Schizosaccharomyces pombe: one gene and its partner. The gene in region 1 interacts genetically with each later gene. Each region holds a gene or a part of one and is shown on either strand. Other genes may lie near its edges.

Region 1 (10,095 bases):
AAAACCATATTGGTAAGATTGAAGTTTGCCTTTGCTTCCGTTGAAAAACGGTAGGCAAAGTCCTCAGCGGTACCAGTTTGAGATCCAAAGAAAACCGCGGCAGTGAGCTTTTCGGCCTCCATCAACTCGACAATACTGTCGGTAGCCACGACTCGCCTCTCAGGAGCCTTTGGCTTGTTGAGAAAATTGTTATAAATAAAGTAACACAAGCTAAGGATCAAAATAATGACCAGCAATACATATTCATAAGTCTTCATAATGCAAAAAATATAATAACCAAATTTTACGAGTGTTCAACTTCGGGATTTAATCCGCCTTTTATTCCAAGGGTAAATGTGCGTGTAAAAAACGAGTGAGTCAACAGAATTGTCTGATGATAGGCAGATGCGAAATAAAGAGCGAAACAGTACTATGCTTTTTTAGCTTGAACCACTTTGAAGCAGATACACTAAAGCGCGAGACAATAAAAATGAAGAAACTCAAACAAGGGTTTCTATAGCCTCTTAAACAAAAAGTCAAGTATTTATCCAAATACTCTAAAGAATCTATAAAAATCAAGATGAAGTATGTAGGCTAAGATACTTAATTAATGAAACAACTGCGCTTTATATGATGAGCACAATAACCATGCCAATTGAACAATCAAATAGATGCTAGAAAGCTTCTAAAGTAATTGACTTCAAAAAGCAATCCTTTCGGGAGAAAAGCTAATTGTTTTGGCAAACGCTAATACCTGGTCGCTGGTAACTCCTGCACCTATATACTGCTATAATATAAAAAAAAAAAATATAGTTCGATTTTTCAATGATTACTTTTTGAAAATTTCTATTAATTAATAAAAAACTATTTAATAAATTCATGTATTAATTTTGGTTAATTAGCATGTTCAACGAAGTTAAAGTTTGACAGATATAGATATCCAACATATGTAGTAAGTATGGATGGAGAGATAAAAATGGGAATGGGAATGAGAGTATTTTTAGATAGAAATAGTGTGACGGCAATCGTACAATAGTTAATTTATTGTGGCAAGCCATCGCAATAACAAAATACCTCGGGAAGAGAATTAAGCGCAATACGAAATTATGGTAAATCGGCGATTCTACTAGTAGGTGTTTATTGTTTTACTAATTATAATGACGATCAGTAAAAAGTAGGTGAGCTTTGAAAAAACCGTTGCTATACACTTTAGGATTTATTTTGACGAACCAATTAATATGGCTACCGTAGTACGGTACATTTTGAACCATTCAGTAAGCTAGTAGATAGGAATAAGCTATCGTCTTTCTGGTCAACATTGGAATGCAAAAAGAAATAATCTCACTCTGTTTATCGGTTTTAGGTTTCTACCGAAAGCCCATTCAAAGACCGTAAAACACTATCGGCAAAAGCTGTTTGTAAACGAACGATAAAAGAATAAATTTGCTAAACAAGCGGTCTTTACGGTTGCTCGTTTTTTGACATACACAAATTTGATACTCAACCATACTAAACACAAACGAAAATGACTTAAAATAGAATTCAAATTTTATTTATTAATGTACAAAAGAAAACCATGTGTCTCTTTGCCTCTTTATTTTCTCTTGCAGTTTTTCTTTTTTCTTCAAATTCTTCTCCAGACAAAGAAAAAACTCAGACGCATAAAAATCAAGTAGAAAACTTTTTTAAGTGAAACCTTCATTACACATACACTATATAGTTCATTCAAAAAAGTATGCAGCTTCATGTTCCAGATAACAGGATGTATGCCACTTTCCTTATATAGGTTTAAACCGTAGTCCACACACTTTTTAGACACTATTCAGTAGTGAATAATAAAAAAATGATGAAAAATAATAATAATAAAATAATAATAATAATAATAGCCGAAAGAAAAAGGAAAGAACGTCATGTATGGACTAAGCAAGAGCAAATTGTTGTTTTTTCATAGTACGTTGTTGAAGCGAATCCAAATAAGTGGTTCGTAATTTACGATTAGTAACACCGCCAATACCAAAAGCCGGAAGAATCCTAACCATACGGGCGAATGTGCTTTTTAGTAAATGCTTACGAACTTGCATAACGCGGTTGGCTGCTGATATGTTAGGTCCACCTCTGTTATAAATGTCAAGGGACAGGAGATGAAGAGGTGTGCTAATAAACTGTACGGCACAGGGGGTGAGCAATTGAGCGGTGATTAAACCACCGGGGAGTAATGGAGCAATCATAGGAGGTATGTTGAAGGAAAAGGCGATGGTGAGTGCATCACGAAGTCCATAAAGACCGTAACAAGACCAAGGGAGAGGACGAGGAGAACCGGTGCCCCAAAATTTGGTAAAGAAACTATCCTTCAAGATGGATAAACCGCTGTTTGCAGCGGTGACAGAACAGAATTTAAACCAGCCGGAAGTTTCCGCCTTGAAGACGGGATTCTTGTGACGAATGTTATCCAGTGTGTCTATGGAATTGGCCGTCATATATGTGCCCGAGTATAATGTAAAGACCAGGGCAAAGGGAGCGCTAAAAAAGAAGGCGCCTGGCTTTGATAAAACATATTTGATGGAGCGACTAACAGAGCGTAATAAAGTAGAACGGCCACTAGTATTTTCGACGATTGAGCGGTCGATCGTCAAGATAAAGGGAGAAATCATGGCACTGGCGGCTGTAGCGGCAAATGCATCGATGCCGATCCGCTTCCAGGTATTGGAGGGAACGGGTTTGGGGGACAAAGGGGGTTGACTATTAAGAGCCATGTTAAAGTCAAAGAGTTTAAAAAAAAGATTAGAAAAGATAAAAAATAAGAATAAAAAAACCAGAAAAGATAAAAAAAATATTAAAAACTTTTTTGTGAAAATAATAAAACAAGCCAAGCAAAAGGTCTTTAGGTATCTATTTTTCTCTCTTTTTAAAGGTTTAATCTAATTTATACAACGTTAAAGCTGAAAAGAAAGAGACGATTGCGAAAAAAAAGCAAAGCCAAAAATAATTTTTCTTCAAATAAACTGCACTTCAACAAATGCAATGAAGGAAAAAATTTAAAACGTTAAACACGAATAGTATAGGCTAACGGGGCAGATAGTACAGGTGAGAGGAAATGTCACCAAAAAAAGACAATTAAAAAGATGCTGAGTAAAAATGAAAGACCGAGAAACGACGACAAGACCAATTGAACAACAAAAGTAGTAGTAGTAGTAGTAGCAACAAAAACAAGTAAAGAGAGGGAAACCAAGTAATTCACACTTTGGAAATGTATATATTCCTTTCTTTTCTTTTTCTAAGTAAAAAGATATATATTATATCAACAAAAAAAGGTAAACCCGAAATCCTAAAATTATTATAAATACAAAAAACCAATAATAACCACAAAGTCCAAGTTAAAGCAAAACCACTTGGATTGTAAGAAGGAAGATTGATGGTGGTTTAAAAAAAAATAAGACGATGATTGGGATTGTGAATAAAAAAATTCAATTCAATTTGATTCGTATCGTTAAAACTGCTTCGCTCAATCAAAACTAACAGTAACGTGAAGTAGGCGATATAGGGAAAAGACAGAACGATTTCCAAAATAAGAACGACAAGTGACTAAGCCGTTTCTATAGCAAACAAAGGCTAAGTTTACAAGGGTTGATCAATCAACGGGTGGAAATGAGGTATATCGATGCAATGATAAGACAACCTTGTCCAACAATCCAACTAGCCAATGAGAAAACAAAAGTCAGACAGCCCACCAAATAGCAGGTGAACGAGTAAAAAACAATTAAAACAAAGGGTTTGATTCCACGCTTTGAGAGAATTATCCCGTACGTTTGAGATGGGGAAAGGATGCGTAAAAAAAGCGGTGGTGGTACTGTGGTGGTTGTAGTAGCGGTAGGAATGGCAATATCAACAACACTCTTCAGTAACAAATAGTACTGGGCAAGCAGCAGTATGAGTATGGGATAGCAGTGAGTAAACAAGAGTGTCTAAGGACTTTAAAAGATATTGCTCGTAATAGTTGCTAGTTGTTCCCAGTTACGCTGGTTCCTATCCTTCTTCTCGTGTCGTAATTGGATCAAGTGCTTGAAGAGGCGAGCTGGAAGAGAAAAAAGAGCGAACGAAGCACGTTTTATATCAAGTTGGCATCAATTTTTAGTCTTAAAGATTCTGTGTTATCTTGCGTTAAACGGGTCAAGATAGGGTGATGATCCCCTTAATTAGCAAGACCGAACAACTTGGGACAACTTGGGATAACGGACTTTTGCAAGAAAATTAGGTGACCCAACCTGGTATCGAGGTAACAGCATCCGAGGTAAAACCGAATATGAGAACAAGTACCGACGAGCTTGAAGGGCGGCAGCGGGGCAAGCAAAAAGACAAGGTGGAAGATGCTGTGTTGAAGTATAGGAGGAAGTGAGATGAAGATTTTGTATTGAGATGTGTTGACGCTGTCTAATAAAGGAAGGTTGCTGACAAATAAGGCATGCTCTTGATTGTTTTATTTTTATTTTTTATTTATTTTTTTTTGTGGTTAATTGTTTTTTTTCTAACTCACTTACTCATCTAATCATTTTTTCTCTGGTCCTTTTTCTCTAGTTCCTTTTTTCCTCTAGTCCCTTTTCTCCTCTAGTCCTTCTTCTCTAGTGGTCTTCTCATCTTTCTAGTCTGGTATTTACTGTTTCACATGCAATAGTTCTAGTAGCGATGCAGCTATTCATTGCAAGCGACTATTCCTACAATGTAAACAGTGTAAACATTGTAGAGAGTCGCTGCTCAAAATCTTAGAAACGGCTAATACTCTTTTCTACTCTTGCTTTTTTGTTGATTTCTTTTCTATTGTTTTCTTTACTTTACTTTCTCTACTTTGCTTGTCATTGCTAGGTCTAGTCTTGTCGGGCGAAACAACCCAACAAGAGTAAATTTTCAGATGGTGACGTTGAAGACTGAGATCCTCGACATCAAGATTTGGGTGTGATAAACGAACGGACCCTTAGATGGATAGCGTATTCACACCCTAAACCCGAAACATAGGGTAGCGTTTTTAAGGCTGCCGAAAGGCGAGTCTACTATGGCCCCTACGGTGGATAAGATGGATAGTGAGTAAATCCAAAGGGTATTTGTCAAGCAAAAAAATAAATAAATAAAGCAATCAATAGGTGGTGTTGCATTCGCTAGTTTGCTTCATTTATTAATTATTACATTCATTAGTTTTTTATGTTCGTTAGATATTAAAAGATCATCAAACTCATCCTTCCTCTTATAACGTCTCTTTTTCTTTTTTGTTTACTCTTCACACTCTTGCATACTTTCATAATTTTTCCAACAAAACTTATCTTGTCAAAGCTCACCAAATTTTATCTACGAAATAATCTTTCTCTCTCTCTCTTCATTATCAGTTAGCTACATTCCATTTTCCTTCTGTCTCCCTACTTTCTCCCACCCCGATCATCCACCTATCCATCATCCTTCATCTACTACTGCTTACTATCCGTAATCTATAAGAAGTGTTGGCACTCACTAATCCTCTGAATTTACGGATACTGCTCTTGAACTCGTTATCGCTATGTTTCGAACGGCGACTCTCTTCCTAAACACTTTCTAGCAGGTGGTTTCGCGATCCCAATTGCTAAAACACTTTATTTCATTTTCCGTCCCCTGCTGCCAAGGAGAATTTCGGATCTAAATCGACGAGGAAGAAGAGGACGGTATTGCAAAATTTGAGAGATATTTACGTTTGTATGAAGTTTGAAGAAAAAAAAAAAAAAAAAGAGGATGAAAATTTTTCTAACATACAATCTTTCATCAAATCCTTAAACTTGTTTTAGTAGTACGCTTACTAGAAATCCTTTTTTAAATTTTTTTTTATTAATTACCTAGTATTTAGCTTTTTTTGTTTTGCTATTTTGGTTCTCATATTTTTTATCTTTAGTTCTATTTCTATTCTATTTGTTCTCTTCTATCCTTTCTCATCATTAGTCAGATAAAATAAAAATCTCTCAATTCAAATATTTCGATTTCAATACATTCGGCTTAAAATGTTTCATTCGGTTCGAAATGCTCTTTTATATTCCGTTCCTTGTTATCTTCCCCTTTATTTCATCTTAACTTACTTATCGTGTCCATTTGTAATCTGTAAAGTATATTTGCTAGTTTCTAATTATTTCTTTCTCCCTCTCTCTGTTTCTCTTGTTTCCTCTTACATGGTGGGGGATTGATAATTTTGGGCAATCCACTGTGAGATAAGTTTTCGTTTTTCTTACTCCTTGATGCGATAATTCTAAAGTCATATGATTCCTTTGCCTCACACCCAGCTATCGCCCCCATACTTAATCATACAATCTGTACTCACTTTTCATAGTAACTCTATCCTTTCGTAATAACCATCCTACACTAATCTAAATTGACGTTTTCCTTCGATATTACAATTTTTGTATGCGCTTTACTAGCTTACCTGTTCCTTTGTTTACGCATCCATTAAACTTTTAACTGCAAAATACAATTACTAGAAATTCATTACGAGTGCACACAAATGAATAGTTTTGCGTATACAATACTATAACCACCTAAATTAAACCTTGGTTTGGTTTTTATATACATACATCATCATCATTACTGTCGTAGCAACTGTACTTCTTCACATAACAAAGTTCATTACTATAGCTGTCTATGGTACAAACGTTAGCATACATTGTATCACTTCAAAATCAATCGATAGCTCTTTAGACTAGGAACAAATGCTTAGCCTCTCTCTTCGTTCTTCCTCAATCACGCGGCATACTGCCGACTTGCCTTAAATTTAGCGACATAGCTAATAAAAAATTAGCGATCAAAAATCCAAGTTACCATTCCTCAGGCATTATCAGCAAACCCTGTTTCAGACATTTTAAAAAATCGATTATTTTTTATATAACACAAGTGTTGGCATATTAAACGCTCGCCATGCCTTTCTCCATAATCATTCTTAAATTCATGGCCAATGGCAGTCGTCTTTTTGTCAATTTTTAACCGAATAGTGCAGTACGCTTTTAGTGTGACAACTGGCCAAAAAAAAGTCCAAACTACTGAAAATGGACCAATGTATACTGCGGATAAGCAATGCTTGTTTATGAAGATAATTGGCCATTCCGCAAGATCCTCACTCCAAGTCATTTCTTTATTAACGAGTACAAGCAACAAGATGTCAAAGATAAGGTTATCCAAAAACCGACTATATAAATATCCATAAAAGTTTTTCTCCCAATTTCCATTGCTGTTTGTCAGATGTTTCTTCATATCTCAATAAAACAATAGTAACGTTGTTCCATTTGTAGTTTTTCTACCTTGCCTTGTTTTATCTTGTCTCTTCTTAGTTATCCCGTCAATTTCATTACTAAACTTAAAAGAGCCGCCGTCTCAGTACTTGCAAAGTAGTTACAAGCATTCACTAAGGATTTTAAATGACGACTAAAACTGTCTTCGTACCGGCGTAAAATTTCTTCCATCTTATCCATTCTTCCTTCATCAAAGCTTTCTTCGGAATTCTCAAGCAAATATAAGGATCGGGTAAACGTGGAAGTATAAGAGGCAAACATAGCACAAGTATTAAGTAATTTAGATTGTACTTTAAGTAATCGCGAGTTAGTAAGCATGCATTCTTTTAGACACGTATCCAAAAAATCGATATGCTCCTGCATTAAATTATCCACAGTTCGGGCGTTCTCAAGTTCTCCCATAAATTTCCCCCAATGTGTTTCAATCACCTCACTTGTAGTATAGTAGATTATTTTTTGAACAAAACTAAGCATTCGTGTCCTTAATAACCAGCTGTTCCTTTTCCATTGTTCGATTTTCGCATTGGAGGAATTGAGACGCCAAGCACTATTCTTGCTGTGCTGCACCCAACTATTCTCAAGTTGCATTTCAACGTGACGAAGTAAAAGAAAATATCTGAACAAAAGTTGATATCGAATAATAGCTTTGCGGGATAAAATAAGTGAAAGGGGAAATGGAACTTTATAGCATAGTTGCATCGTTTCAAATCCATTAATATCTTTATCGCTACCAACTTTTGAAGTCCCCTGTGTGCTCCGATTGTGTTCACTCTCAAAATTTCGAGTTTCATTGCCCACATCCGCTTGCTTCGTGATTGATTCATTCCAAACTTCGTTTCCCTGAGATGATGTTCCTTCTTCCAAACCACTGATACTTACAATATGCATGAGCCAGTCTATTAATGATGTTTGATTCACTTCTACAGTCACGTATTCTTTATGTGGATCAGTCGCAGTTATCGTACCAGGCTGACGAAGGGCTAAATCTAATTGCGACTGCAACTTCGTGATAGATATATACTTTGCAGGTTTTCGTAGCTCGTGTTGAGCATTGTCAAGAAATGTTGTAAAAAAGTCAGATTGATCAAGGAAAAAATAATGTTTGAGCGAGTACAGATGAGCGTAAAGAGACTGTGAAGACTGGAGTAATTGCAAGAGAGATTCATTTGCATAAACATAGGCATTCATGATATTTAAAGTAAAGTTATCATCATCGAAGGTTGAAGGCCAGAGCAACTGGTTTTGAGTATCGTCTTTTGCATTTAACGAAGCCAGGTTATTAACTCCCTTCCTACACTCTAAAACGACGTTCAAATACTTGCCTGCAAAGAGTACCTTGTTTTGTAAATCAAGCAATTGTGGAGGAACTTGATCCTCTCGAATCACGTATCGTTTTTCCCAATATTCATCTGTGTAGTCTTCATCAAGTTGCATAGATGTGATTCCTTTGTGTATTTTTATCATAAATTCATCATATGGGTCATTTACGAGCCCGAGATGGATCCACTCATTCAACATTTTTGTATAAGGGCGTGAAGCTTCGCGCAATAAATAGGTTAGGATTTTTCGTGCCACAGGATCACCCGCATATTTCGTAAGACTTTCGGTCAAAAAAGAAATGACTTGCCCACCTTTACAAACCTTTTTCTTAGACCTAGTGGCATTAACAACATGTGAAATGTCATTTCCTTCATTAAGTTGCTCTAAAAGATCGTCGATGTTACTAAGACCTAAATCATCGCTGCTGGAAGCATTCTTTTCCATAGACAAAAGCAGGTCACGTAGAATTAAATACACTTGTCGTAATGAACGCGATGTGGGAAGAGTATAAAGGCGAAGAGTTTGAAGAGAAAAATTTGGATCAATTCGGCTCTGATTTTCACACTGCATGATAAGTACCACGTAGTCCATCACAAACTTTCGCAAAGCAGCGCACAATGCGTGGTTAACAAATCCGTATTCAAAATGGCTTCTCGATTCTATAAAAGCTGTGATACTTAAATAATGAGACCCCATCTCTAACATCTCAGAAGCAATATCCTTTATACCTAAATCAAATCCAGGAAGAATATAAAACGATGGCGGCATAATAATGGTTTCAAACTCAGAGGATGCTTTCATGTCTTGGAGATGTACAAATACACCCTCCATGCCCATAAATGCATTTAAGAGTTCGTTTATGAGACATGCTTCCTGCTGATGGATATTTAAGTTCGAAGGATCGCTAAAAGTCTTCCCATCGTAAAGATAATTTAATTGAATCCTATCAGAAAATGGAGAAACACCTTCACTCTTCAAAGAGACATGATAAACGCTCCCTTCCTCGAGAGCTGGAATTGGACTCCCATTCTCGCTTTCTTCTTTAGCAAGCACCGAACTAATCGATCTCACCATTTAAAGAGTCTTTTTTTATATAATCTACAAAAGTGTGAACATTTATTTAATATTTAGTGCTCTTTGTAATTATTATTCGGATATGCTTGTTTACCAGCAGGCCAGTTTTAAGATGTAGGTTGGTAAGTATGCGCCAGCTAACAATCAACGCAATTTCAAAGCAAACCAACTCAGGTCCGTGTAGCATTAAAAAATGCAAAAAAGTATAAAAAAAATTAGTCAAAAAATACATAACTAGAAGACTGCAGCATTTTCTATTGTAAGACTACCGTAAACTCAAAGGACCCCAAATACTCATTCGAGTATATATGGATAGCAGTAGACAGTGACAAATTCTATATGCTAGAGTTTATTTTGAATGGATAAAAATTTTAGATCCTAAGCTTGAGGGATTTATTCCCTTCATCTTTTTTTTTTTTTTTTTTTTTTTTTTTTT
Region 2 (10,095 bases), 1.6 Mb from region 1:
CGAAGTTTACGAATCTTTTGAAACGTGCATATAACGTCTCCTACCCTGTCCAAAACGTCAAAAATAATACAAAGATGGGATTTCCATTGGAAAAAAGCGAAGATGAATGGAAAAAGGAGCTAGGTCCTGAGAAGTATCGAATTATGAGACAAAAGGGTACTGAGCACCCAGGTGCAGGACGATTCACTCATCAGTTCCCTAAACAGGGCGTTTTTGTTTGCGCTGCATGTAAAGAGCTTCTTTATAAAGCTAGCACAAAGTTTGAAAGCCATTGTGGATGGCCTGCGTTTTTCGATAATTTACCTGGAAAGGTGAAACGCATTGAAGACAACTCTTATGGAATGCATCGTGTAGAAGCAGTTTGTGCCAACTGTGGTGGTCATTTAGGCCATATTTTTAAAGGAGAAGGTTATTCTAATCCTACTGACGAACGCCATTGTATAAATTCGGCGAGTTTGGAATTCCATAATGAGGCAACAAATGACAATTGAACTAGATTATGCTTAATATTTCTGTATTTTCTTTATTAGATGTTAGCACCAGTTCGAATTGTTTGTGCTTGATGTACGGCTATTATTTTATTTAAAGTTGCTTGTTCACGTTTTGGTTAACTTCAATAAAATGCATTTACTTTTAACATTTTAAACTAATATATTTTGTTTTCAAAGAGTGTAGTAATCTCTAGGTCAGAAATTAGATTTACTAGCCGTATGTTATAACTAAGCTGCTTATGCCAAAGTTAATAAACGATAACACAATGTTTACACTACCTGATATGATCTTCCATTTATTTCAACTATAAAGGGTATAACTAAAGTATCCCTCACTTAAATATTTATTAATTTGCGTACGCTTCATAGGTCATTGAAAAATTTTCGTTCTTTTTTCAGAAGATTTTAAGAAAGGAGTAAAAGATGCGTGGACTACAATAATACGCGAAGGATCCGAAAATGTCATTACATTATACTGAATAAGTATAGGATGATTCTCCTTTTACGACGAATCCAGCAATGGCTTTATATATTGGCACATTTCCATCCGTCATGTCAACCACCAAATGGATGGACTGATTATCAAGAGCGAACAGTAGTACAGTACGCGCGACGTTTTCACGAGACATCATACAATTTATGGATATCTTACCCAATGCAACTTTTCCAGAACCCTTCTCGTCTGTCATACCAGAAGGACGTAAAATCGTCCAATCAATATCACTAGAGCGTCGCACTAATTCCTGATCCGCTAGGTACTTGTAATGGTAATAAGTTCCAATTGACTGATGTATTTTCTCACTTAGCTCTATATCAGCAGCCGTATAGTAAGGAGGAGGAGGTTGGCTCATATCACGATTATCTATCGCAGATATCATAATTAAGCGTCGAATACCAGCTATCCTCATAGCATCATAAACTTTTATAGCACCTTCATAATCGACGGCTCTTGTTCGTTCAGGGCCGCCTTTACCTCCTGCACCGGCTGCAAATATAACAACATCAGGGTGTATTTCAGCTAAAAACTGAGCAATATCATTAGGCGTCGCCTTCTCAAGTGAACAGACAGAAGTTCTGCCATGCACTTTTTCAATGTCTTCATTCTGAACATAATCACGTACAACATTGTAAACTATATGGCCAGCTTCTGTAGCAATTTTAGTAAAAAGCAAGGCCACCTTTCCATGCCCTCCAAAAACAACAAAAACAGTCATTTCTTACAAAATAAAAATGCTGACGATGATTTCTTTAACCGTTGGGAATCAAGAATCCAATATATCCTTCTCCCTTATTGAAAAAGGAACTTAATTAGCTGATCCTTTGAATAAAAGCAATGGCAATTGTTAAAATGAGTAATTTTTAGAATTGGAAATGCTGTGTATCTGTCAAACCCCTCTTAAAAAAAGAAAGGAATAAGGAAAATGAAAACAATCTACAAAATTGAATCGAAGAGACACACCACAGGGAATGAGCAAAAGCACGGTTTACCTAATTAGTAGTACCGAGTTAATTATGTGACGTTTTCAGTTTTTGTATGGTAAGCTCTAATAGTTTTAACATGATGTAACGATGCAGTAAAATAACTAGCCAGATATATTGTGCTCTTTTTAACTTTCGCTAAAAGTTCTTGGGGTAATACACGGAAAGTGCATCTGGGCACTAAAATCATTTAACAGGTTGCTTATTATTCATTCAGTAATTGAAAGTCGCCCAGATTTGTTATGTTTACCAGTAATAGCAATGTTTAATTCTTTGCACATAAAACTCCGTCAAGGTTAAGTCTGAATCTTCTTTTGCTTATACGGGATAATTTGTTTTGATAAAACTAACATTATCGATGTTACCTTTAAACGTTAGTCGTCTTTTGTTTGCTATTTAAATGTCTCGTATGATAAATTGATTGATTAAAAATGAATTGTATAGAAAGAGCAATTTTTTCGACAAAATAGGAAAGTATATCATCCTCATTAGTGCATGTCGAATTGCAATAAAGCTTGATCGTATAAACCTCATTTACAAAACTGATTAAGACATTTGATTCTTAGTTGTTTACAGTGGTTTAATATCTTTCTATTTGATGCCGCTTAATAAAAACAATTGGTATAACTTTAAAAGTTGTTAGGGAATATTGAAACAGTTTACTTTAAAACTTATAAGCAATGACTGAAACATGCTTAAATGCCGGGCTTAGTATCAAAGATAGCCTTATGATTTATTTGTTTGATAGCTTGAACCCAGATATTGTGAATTTTCTTGCTTTTCGCTTTTAAGACGATGGGCTTATCAGTTGTCTGCATCACAATAACTTCATTATGTAAATTGGCGTTCTTTAAGGCATCTGGGGCTTTTATAATAGTCATTCCCTTAATTTTCACAGACTTGACTTGATTTTTCCTTCCTTTTTCAATAAATGGATTTGTTTTAGACCAGCACAGCATTTCACAATGCGGGTTAATCCAAAAATAGCGCCAATGACTCTTTTTAAACATTTTGAAACTCTCACTTCTCGGGTACTTCATCATTTCGTTTCCCATCATGACATGTTTCATCAATTTGTTCACAGAATTTGCATTACAAGTTGAAGAAGATAAACCTGATAGATTCAAATTATCTCTGCATTTTTTCGTATTTGTTTTGCTTTTGAGATTATTGCGAGGTAAGGTGAATACGTCTGACACCGTCGACAAGGAAATAGAAATCGTCGTAGCCGTACTTCTTGCTTTCAATTGACGTGCTGATTGCGAGGAATCATGCCGAGTTTTTTCAACTTCAGCTGTTGGATAAGTACGAGTATTCTTAGGTGCAGACGGATAAGTTGACGCCTCCCAATTATTATGTTTTGTAAAGTCTTTGAAAAGCATTGAGGAAGTTCCGTTTGAATGTCTTGAAGACATATTAATGTCCAAAGTAACATCAGAAGTTTCCAATGATTGACGTGAAGCAATTGAACGATTCTTAAACATCGAGGATTGAGCAATTTTTTCCCATTGTTCCCAGTCATGCTCTTGATATGGGATCTTTCGAGGAAAAACTGCCTTGCCTTGCCTCATACAATTCATAGATCCATTGGAACATAGCTTTTTCGAATTCCTAACATTACTGTGGGAAATATCCGTAGATAATCTAAAATTCTTAAATTCAGCTATTTCTGGATTACTATAGTGGCGCAACCTCCGACGAGGAATCGAGCAGTCAATAATAGCGCTAGTTAATTTTCTTTTCAACCTCGTGGTAGCAACATTTGAAAGCGCATCGGTCCTTAGAATGACACTATTAGCTGATGTGTCATTTACTTCATTTTTTATTAAGGAAAAAACAGAGCTGATAAATTCCATATTCTTTTGCAGATTCCACTGCATGGAGATTGTATTTGCACCACATACAAAGTCTTTGACATTTTTTAGACAACAGAAGTGATTCTCCAGAATATCATGTTGTATACGGTTTAATACATGATTTCCATAGGAATTTAAAATAGGTTTAACAAGCCTATAAGAGGAGACGCGATTGTTTAAATAATTTTCACGTCCACCTTTGTTTAATGCAGGCAGGTAAGAAACATCACGTTCGTAAATAGAAGAATGATTTAAAATGTTTTCTTTTAGTTTGAAATTAGCAAATTTTTCAGTATCTTTCAAATGCATCTCAGTACTTGCAGACATGTCGCATTTTGAAGAATTCGTATCTATAGGAAATTTTTGGCGAGGTTCAAATTGAGCCAATTCAAAAATTTCCTGGCGATCTGAGCTTTTAGTCGGTTTGAAAAGTTTAATGACTTGTTTATTTTTTGAGTCAATATCTTTTATTGAAATTTGAGAGGTGAGAGATTGAAAGAATGACTGAATAAGATGATTCAGAGAAAGTGGGTACAAGCAAGAAAGCTGAAAAAGGCCCAAGTTACTTTTCAGCGCCTTTTGTAGTTGCTGATAAGACAAAAGGAAGCAAATAAACTCATCATCTCTGTCGGTTTCATCTTCGATGTCTATAGAGTTTTCTGGTGATACTGCCTTGTTCAGAGACCTGATTGATTTCTTTATGTCAGCTTTTGTGTTTTCAATTATTTCCGATGATAAATTTGGAGACGGTGTTTTAGTATCGTCAGCTACCAAATGATTTACACTCACTAACTCCTGTTTTGCTAAATTGATGGATTTGAGAACGGCCGATGATTGAGATACCGAAGTTTGTACATTGGATTCCAACGACAAAAAAGGATCTATTGGAAAATCGTGTTTCTCTTCTTGCTCCGCATCAAAAGATGAACTATCAAAATACTTATCCGAGGAAGACTCCAAAAATACAGAATCGTCGTTTTCATCCTCAGTTACCAAAGTATTTTTAGAATCTTCACTTTCATCTATAGTTTCGCCTTTTTCGGCATTCAGTTGAAGCTCGTGAAGGCAAATTCTTAAATTTGTTAATTCCAATGTCAGTTTGTTCTTCTCATCGTTAAGTGAAACGGTCAAAGACTCTACTTCTGTCAATTTTTTCATTAATCCTTGTAGTCTTTGTTCAAGCAAATCCCTTTGTCCTTGCACCTTAGTCTTCTCTTTCATAAGTGTTTTCATGTTTGAAGAAAGTAGATCAAGTTGCTTGATTAAATGGGCATTATCCACTGACAACTTTTTATGCAAATCTTCTTTCTCTGACAGTTGCAGCCTTAAATACCGCAACTGTTGCAGAAGGTTTAAGCCAATGTTAGTAGCATATTGTAGATTGGTTTCAGTAACTGAATATTGATCTACTTGAGAAGACTCACTGAAGCAATTTGTGTTCTTCCTTCTTTCAATTGCAATGTCTTGACGTTGAATAGTAAGCATCTCCGTAATTCTCACCTCCTCCTCCGCTAAATTTTTTTCCAAGTCGCGTAATTTATATCGATTATCAAATTTGTTATTAAAATATGTTTTATTTTCCTTTTGAACCACTTGGTCTTTAATTTCTTGTTCGATTTTTCGTGTTTCACAAAGAATGCTTTCCTCTAACGCTTTCGCATAAGCAAGCTTTATTTTTGCACTTTCATTTCTATTTTTTAAATCAATTGAATATAATTCCACCTCGTTATCTTGTTTTTTCTCCATGAAGGATCAGTATATGTTTTGGTAAGCTCAACTCTCTTTGTCTTTTATATATCGATAAACTCGTAAGCATGCATATCGCAACAGTCATCGTCTTGAATACATAATTTTTATTTCTGGAATTATATCAATTCAATTCGTGTTCTCATTTGGCAAATTTCTCGTATTACGCTTTAACAATAAAACTTAGTAAAAGCAAAAAAACTGTATTTATATTGATGCATTTGCTAGAGTACTTGAATATCTAGCGAAGCTTTAGCAGCTTTCAATATATATATCGGTATAAATACCATTAGTTTGTACTTAAAAATTAACTATTACTTTACAAATGTACCCTGAGCCTCATGATTGACTTGCAAAAAATTGATTTGACGAGGCTACACATGTGTTTAGACAATAATTAACTTTATTTATATTCATATTTAGTTTATTTACTATTTCGAAAAGATTTAAATGCTAATTGTAGACAGTATAAAACGTTTAAAACACAACTCGATATAAGGATTGATTACAGCATATACACCGAGCGGTGAAGTACTCATCGTTAAAATGCATAACGTCCGTTAATGATATTGTTGTAAACAGATACCGAATTACAATGAAAAATAGTGACTGAAAGCACCACGATCACGTATATAATAGTTATTTGACTCTATAAAGAACATAATTCTGCCATAACACTTCAAAATTATGCACGTGAAATATACATAGTACACTGCTTAACAAATCTATTTGTTATATTTTAGGCAAACCAAATAATTAAGTAAAGCGGCATTGCCATTTAATGAGAAATACATTTATTAATAATTACAATCTTGGTGCAATCTACGGTATTGCATTCATTCACCACCACGTTTGAATTTCGTCTTCACTTTTGAAAATTTGGTGACGAACGCCAACGTCGTAAATTCGAAGCTGACGTCTACCCTTAATCCGCCGTAGAAATGGATTCTACGAAGGAAGAGGAAGATTTAAATAATAATATTGATGAAATTTCAGATGGAGAAAATGAAGAAGAGGAATTAGACGAAGCAATTGCAGCTGCATTGCAGAAGATCGAAGTGCCATCGATTCCCAGACGTGTAAAAGTGTACGAAATGGAAGATGAAAACTGGGTAGACTGTGGCACCGGTTATTGCGATGGAAAAATAGAGGGACCGTTGGCTTATTTCATTGTGCGTTCAGAAGCTGATAATGAAACCATCCTTTTGAAAACACAATTGATTGCGGAAGATATATACAGCCGTCAAGAAGAAACTCTCATAGTCTGGCAAGAATTGAATGGTACTGATCTTGCTTTAAGCTTTCAAGAATCTAGCGGTTGTATAGACATGTGGATGTTTTTAGCAAATGTTCAAAAGGCAATATCATCGGTAACTAGAAGTTACTCCAACGATGATATATTGACGGATGAGGGGGCGCTTAATGAAAACTACCTAAACACGGTCGATCTTCCAGCCCCAGAGCTTGCTAATTTAAAAGAAATTGAAGAAGCAGTATATGGATATATGCAGTCTATTCAATCAAGAGATAGTTTGGTTCGTTATGTTTCAAATGAAAATTATATTGATAGACTTATTGAACTTTTTCCTCTGTGTGAGGATCTAGAGAATACAGATGACCTTCATCGATTGTGTTCCATAATAAAAAGCTTTGGTATGTTAATCTACTTTATACTTTTTAGATTCGTTAAATCCTTGCTAATCGCTGTCAGTGCAATTGAACGACGCCCCTTTACTCGAATCGTTGTTCTCTAATGATGAAAAGCTAATGTGTGTAGCTGGTATTCTCGAATACGATCCGGAATTCCCCAATATCAAAGCGAACCATCGGGAATATTTAATGGATTCCAAAAAGTTTAAGCAGGTGGTTCCCATTCAGGATCCACGGATTCTTGCAAAAATTCACCAGACATTTAAGCTTCAGTATCTAAGGGATGTTGTCGTTTCAAGGATTGTTGACGAACCCTCCTTTTCGGTGCTAAATTCATTTATCTTCTTTAACCAGGCTGATATTATTCAATACCTTCAAACAAATGAAAAATTTTTACATGAACTGTTTAGCATTTATGTGAATGAAGGCGAGGATGATCAACGCAAGCAAGACGGTATATTCTTTATTCAGCAGGTTTGCAACATCGCTAAAGGGCTACAATTCCAGTCCTGCTCTGCATTATTTGCTACTTTCGTTAAATTTAATCTTCTGAAAGCTTTGGATTATGCAATGTCACATGAGAACAATTCCGTTCGAAATGCTGGTTCCGATATTTTGGTGTCTATTATTGATCATGAACCTGCCATCGTTTGGCAAAAGTTTGATCAAGATCGCAAGGACGCTTCTTCTTCATTGAGCAATGCTCACGTTTCCCAACATTCGTTGCTTTCCAATTTAATTAACATTTTGCATAAAGAATCAAATCCTGGAGTACTTGCTCAAATTTCTGAAGCTTTTAAAATGCTACTAAGTTTACCTGGTAGCTATGCATACAATAATCCTTACAGAAATGCTGATGGAAATGTTCGAAATAAAACCGATAACATTATTGGAATTAATTTTATTGAAAATTTTTATGATAACTCTTTTAATATGCTTGCTGCTCCTTTATTGGAGCTGGAAAATGTATCGAGTTTAGATGTTAAAAAGCTTGATATGTATATGCATTTGTGTGAGCTTTTTTGTTATTTTTTTCGTATACACGATTATTGGTCTCGTCGTTTTGATACATATAAAACCCTTACATCAAAAGTGGCTCTATTACTATACAGCGATAGAAAATATGTTGTTTTGAGCGCCCTTAGATTTATTCGCTCTTGTTTGGCCGCTCGTCAGTCAGAAATGTCCTTGATCATGTTAGAAACTGACACATACGGAAAAGTTCTGGACTTGATGTTAAAGGTCAAAGACCAAACTAATTTAGTCAACTCAGCTGCTTTAGAGTTTTTTGAATTTTTAAGATCCGAGGGATCTGAAGATACACTGGATTATCTCAATAAAAACTATCGACCACAGCTGGAATCTTTAAATAATCTCAGTACTTTTTCTGAGCTTTTAAATATAATAGATGGCTTAAGCTCTGACTCAAGAAGCCCTAAAACTGTTGGGACTCATGAATCAAATAGTTATGAATTTGACGGTGCCTCCAATAATAACCAACGTGTTGGAGACGACGTATCCAAAGATTGGGAAATACAGCAAGATTTTTCTATTGAAAACGATACTGAATTATCAGAAAAAGTTGGACAACGTACTGTTCTTGATTCTATAGCCCCTGCTGAGCTAAATATTGAAGACAGTTGCGAGCAGCCAAAGCAACCTATATTAGAGGATCGTTATTTCCTTGAGTCTGCAGTTTATGATACCTCTGCAGAATCTTCAGGTATTAATGTTTCAAACACCCGTTATTCTAAAAGGAAATCGGATTTCCAAGTTGATGATCAGCAAGCTGATGATGAATCACCAAAAAAGAGACTCTCTATCGATTCAAGTTCTGCCCAGAATGGCTACGCTTCCTAGAAGATGAACATAAAAAGGGAAGCTCCAAAAACTCTAGAAGATTGTAATGCAAGTGAATCATCATATGGACATCGTATTTTTGTTCCCGGGTTTATCATTGTTTTGAAAACTCATCTGTATAATATAAACGATTTGGGTTGTTCATTAAGGGACTTTTAAAATAATAAATACCAATTTTCATGTTACTATCGTGGTCTTGTAGTCTCGGGATAATTGTTTACTTAACGCTGACGAATAATTGTACTTAGTAGGCTTAAAAATTAAAAAAAAGTATTTTATATTAAAACGGCAATTTATAACTCTTGAAAAACAGAGGGATTTATATAATAAACAAAAAGAGTGTGAAGTCATTACAAACTTGAACCCAACTCTATCTAAAACTATTTCTTTAAAAACAACGACGTACCAAACAAGGCAAAAACCAAATAGCTATCAGTGATTGCCAAGACAATCATAATCAACCAATTCATAAATCAAAAATAATTTAATTTTAATGAACTGATTCTGCAAACTTAGGATGACATTTCGCTAAGGATATAAGGGATAATTACTAGCGAAGCTTGTAAGAAAATCAATAAGGATTCGATGATACGGACGGGCATAAGCAAAGCAGGACCAGACAAGACATATTGGTAAATACCATAGAGACAGACGGCATAGAAGTGGCCGATAAGATGAGAAGGGCTATGGTCTAAACCGCCTAATAAACGAATGGGACCTTCAACACAATTACCTCCACGCTTGAAGTAATCGATACAGCCCGATTCAAGAGCCTTCATATAGCGATTTTTAGGGGTAAACAATTTGTACAAAGCAATGGAAAGAACGTTGATTACAAAACTGTAACCCTTACGCTTCCAATGGAATTTGTTCATTTGGTTTAAAATGCGCTCGTAGTCTAGAAGATCGGGAACAGCGGAAGGGGAAATGAATCGGGAAAGAAGATAGGCATCGTGAAAGCAAACAGTCATACCACCGCCGGTAAGGGGATGGCGCATATTGTTTGAATCGCC

What was found.
Region 2: mutations in SPOM_SPBC365.16 (region 1) and psy2 together harm fitness more than expected from each alone (negative genetic interaction), as found in Schizosaccharomyces pombe (one large-scale study listed by BioGRID).

Annotation. Positions count from the first base shown.
Region 1 is NC_003423.3:2,523,625-2,533,719, reverse strand, and holds SPOM_SPBC365.16 (uncharacterized protein), read right to left. Parts: upstream 4,054-10,095; 5' UTR 2,733-4,053; coding exon 1,899-2,732; 3' UTR 1,506-1,898; downstream 1-1,505. Other genes in the region: ccr1 (NADPH-cytochrome p450 reductase), read right to left, coding at 1-257; gamma tubulin complex GCP2 subunit Alp4, read right to left, coding at 7,305-9,659.
Region 2 is NC_003423.3:893,552-903,646, reverse strand, and holds psy2 (serine/threonine protein phosphatase PP4 regulatory subunit 3 Psy2), read left to right. Parts: upstream 1-6,232; 5' UTR 6,233-6,513; coding exon 6,514-7,225; intron 7,226-7,283; coding exon 7,284-9,082; 3' UTR 9,083-9,275; downstream 9,276-10,095. Other genes in the region: peptide-methionine (R)-S-oxide reductase Mxr2, read left to right, coding at 75-491; SPOM_SPBC216.03 (uncharacterized protein), read right to left, coding at 962-1,705; dynein-anchoring factor Num1, read right to left, coding at 2,666-5,572; squalene monooxygenase Erg1, read right to left, coding at 9,595-10,095.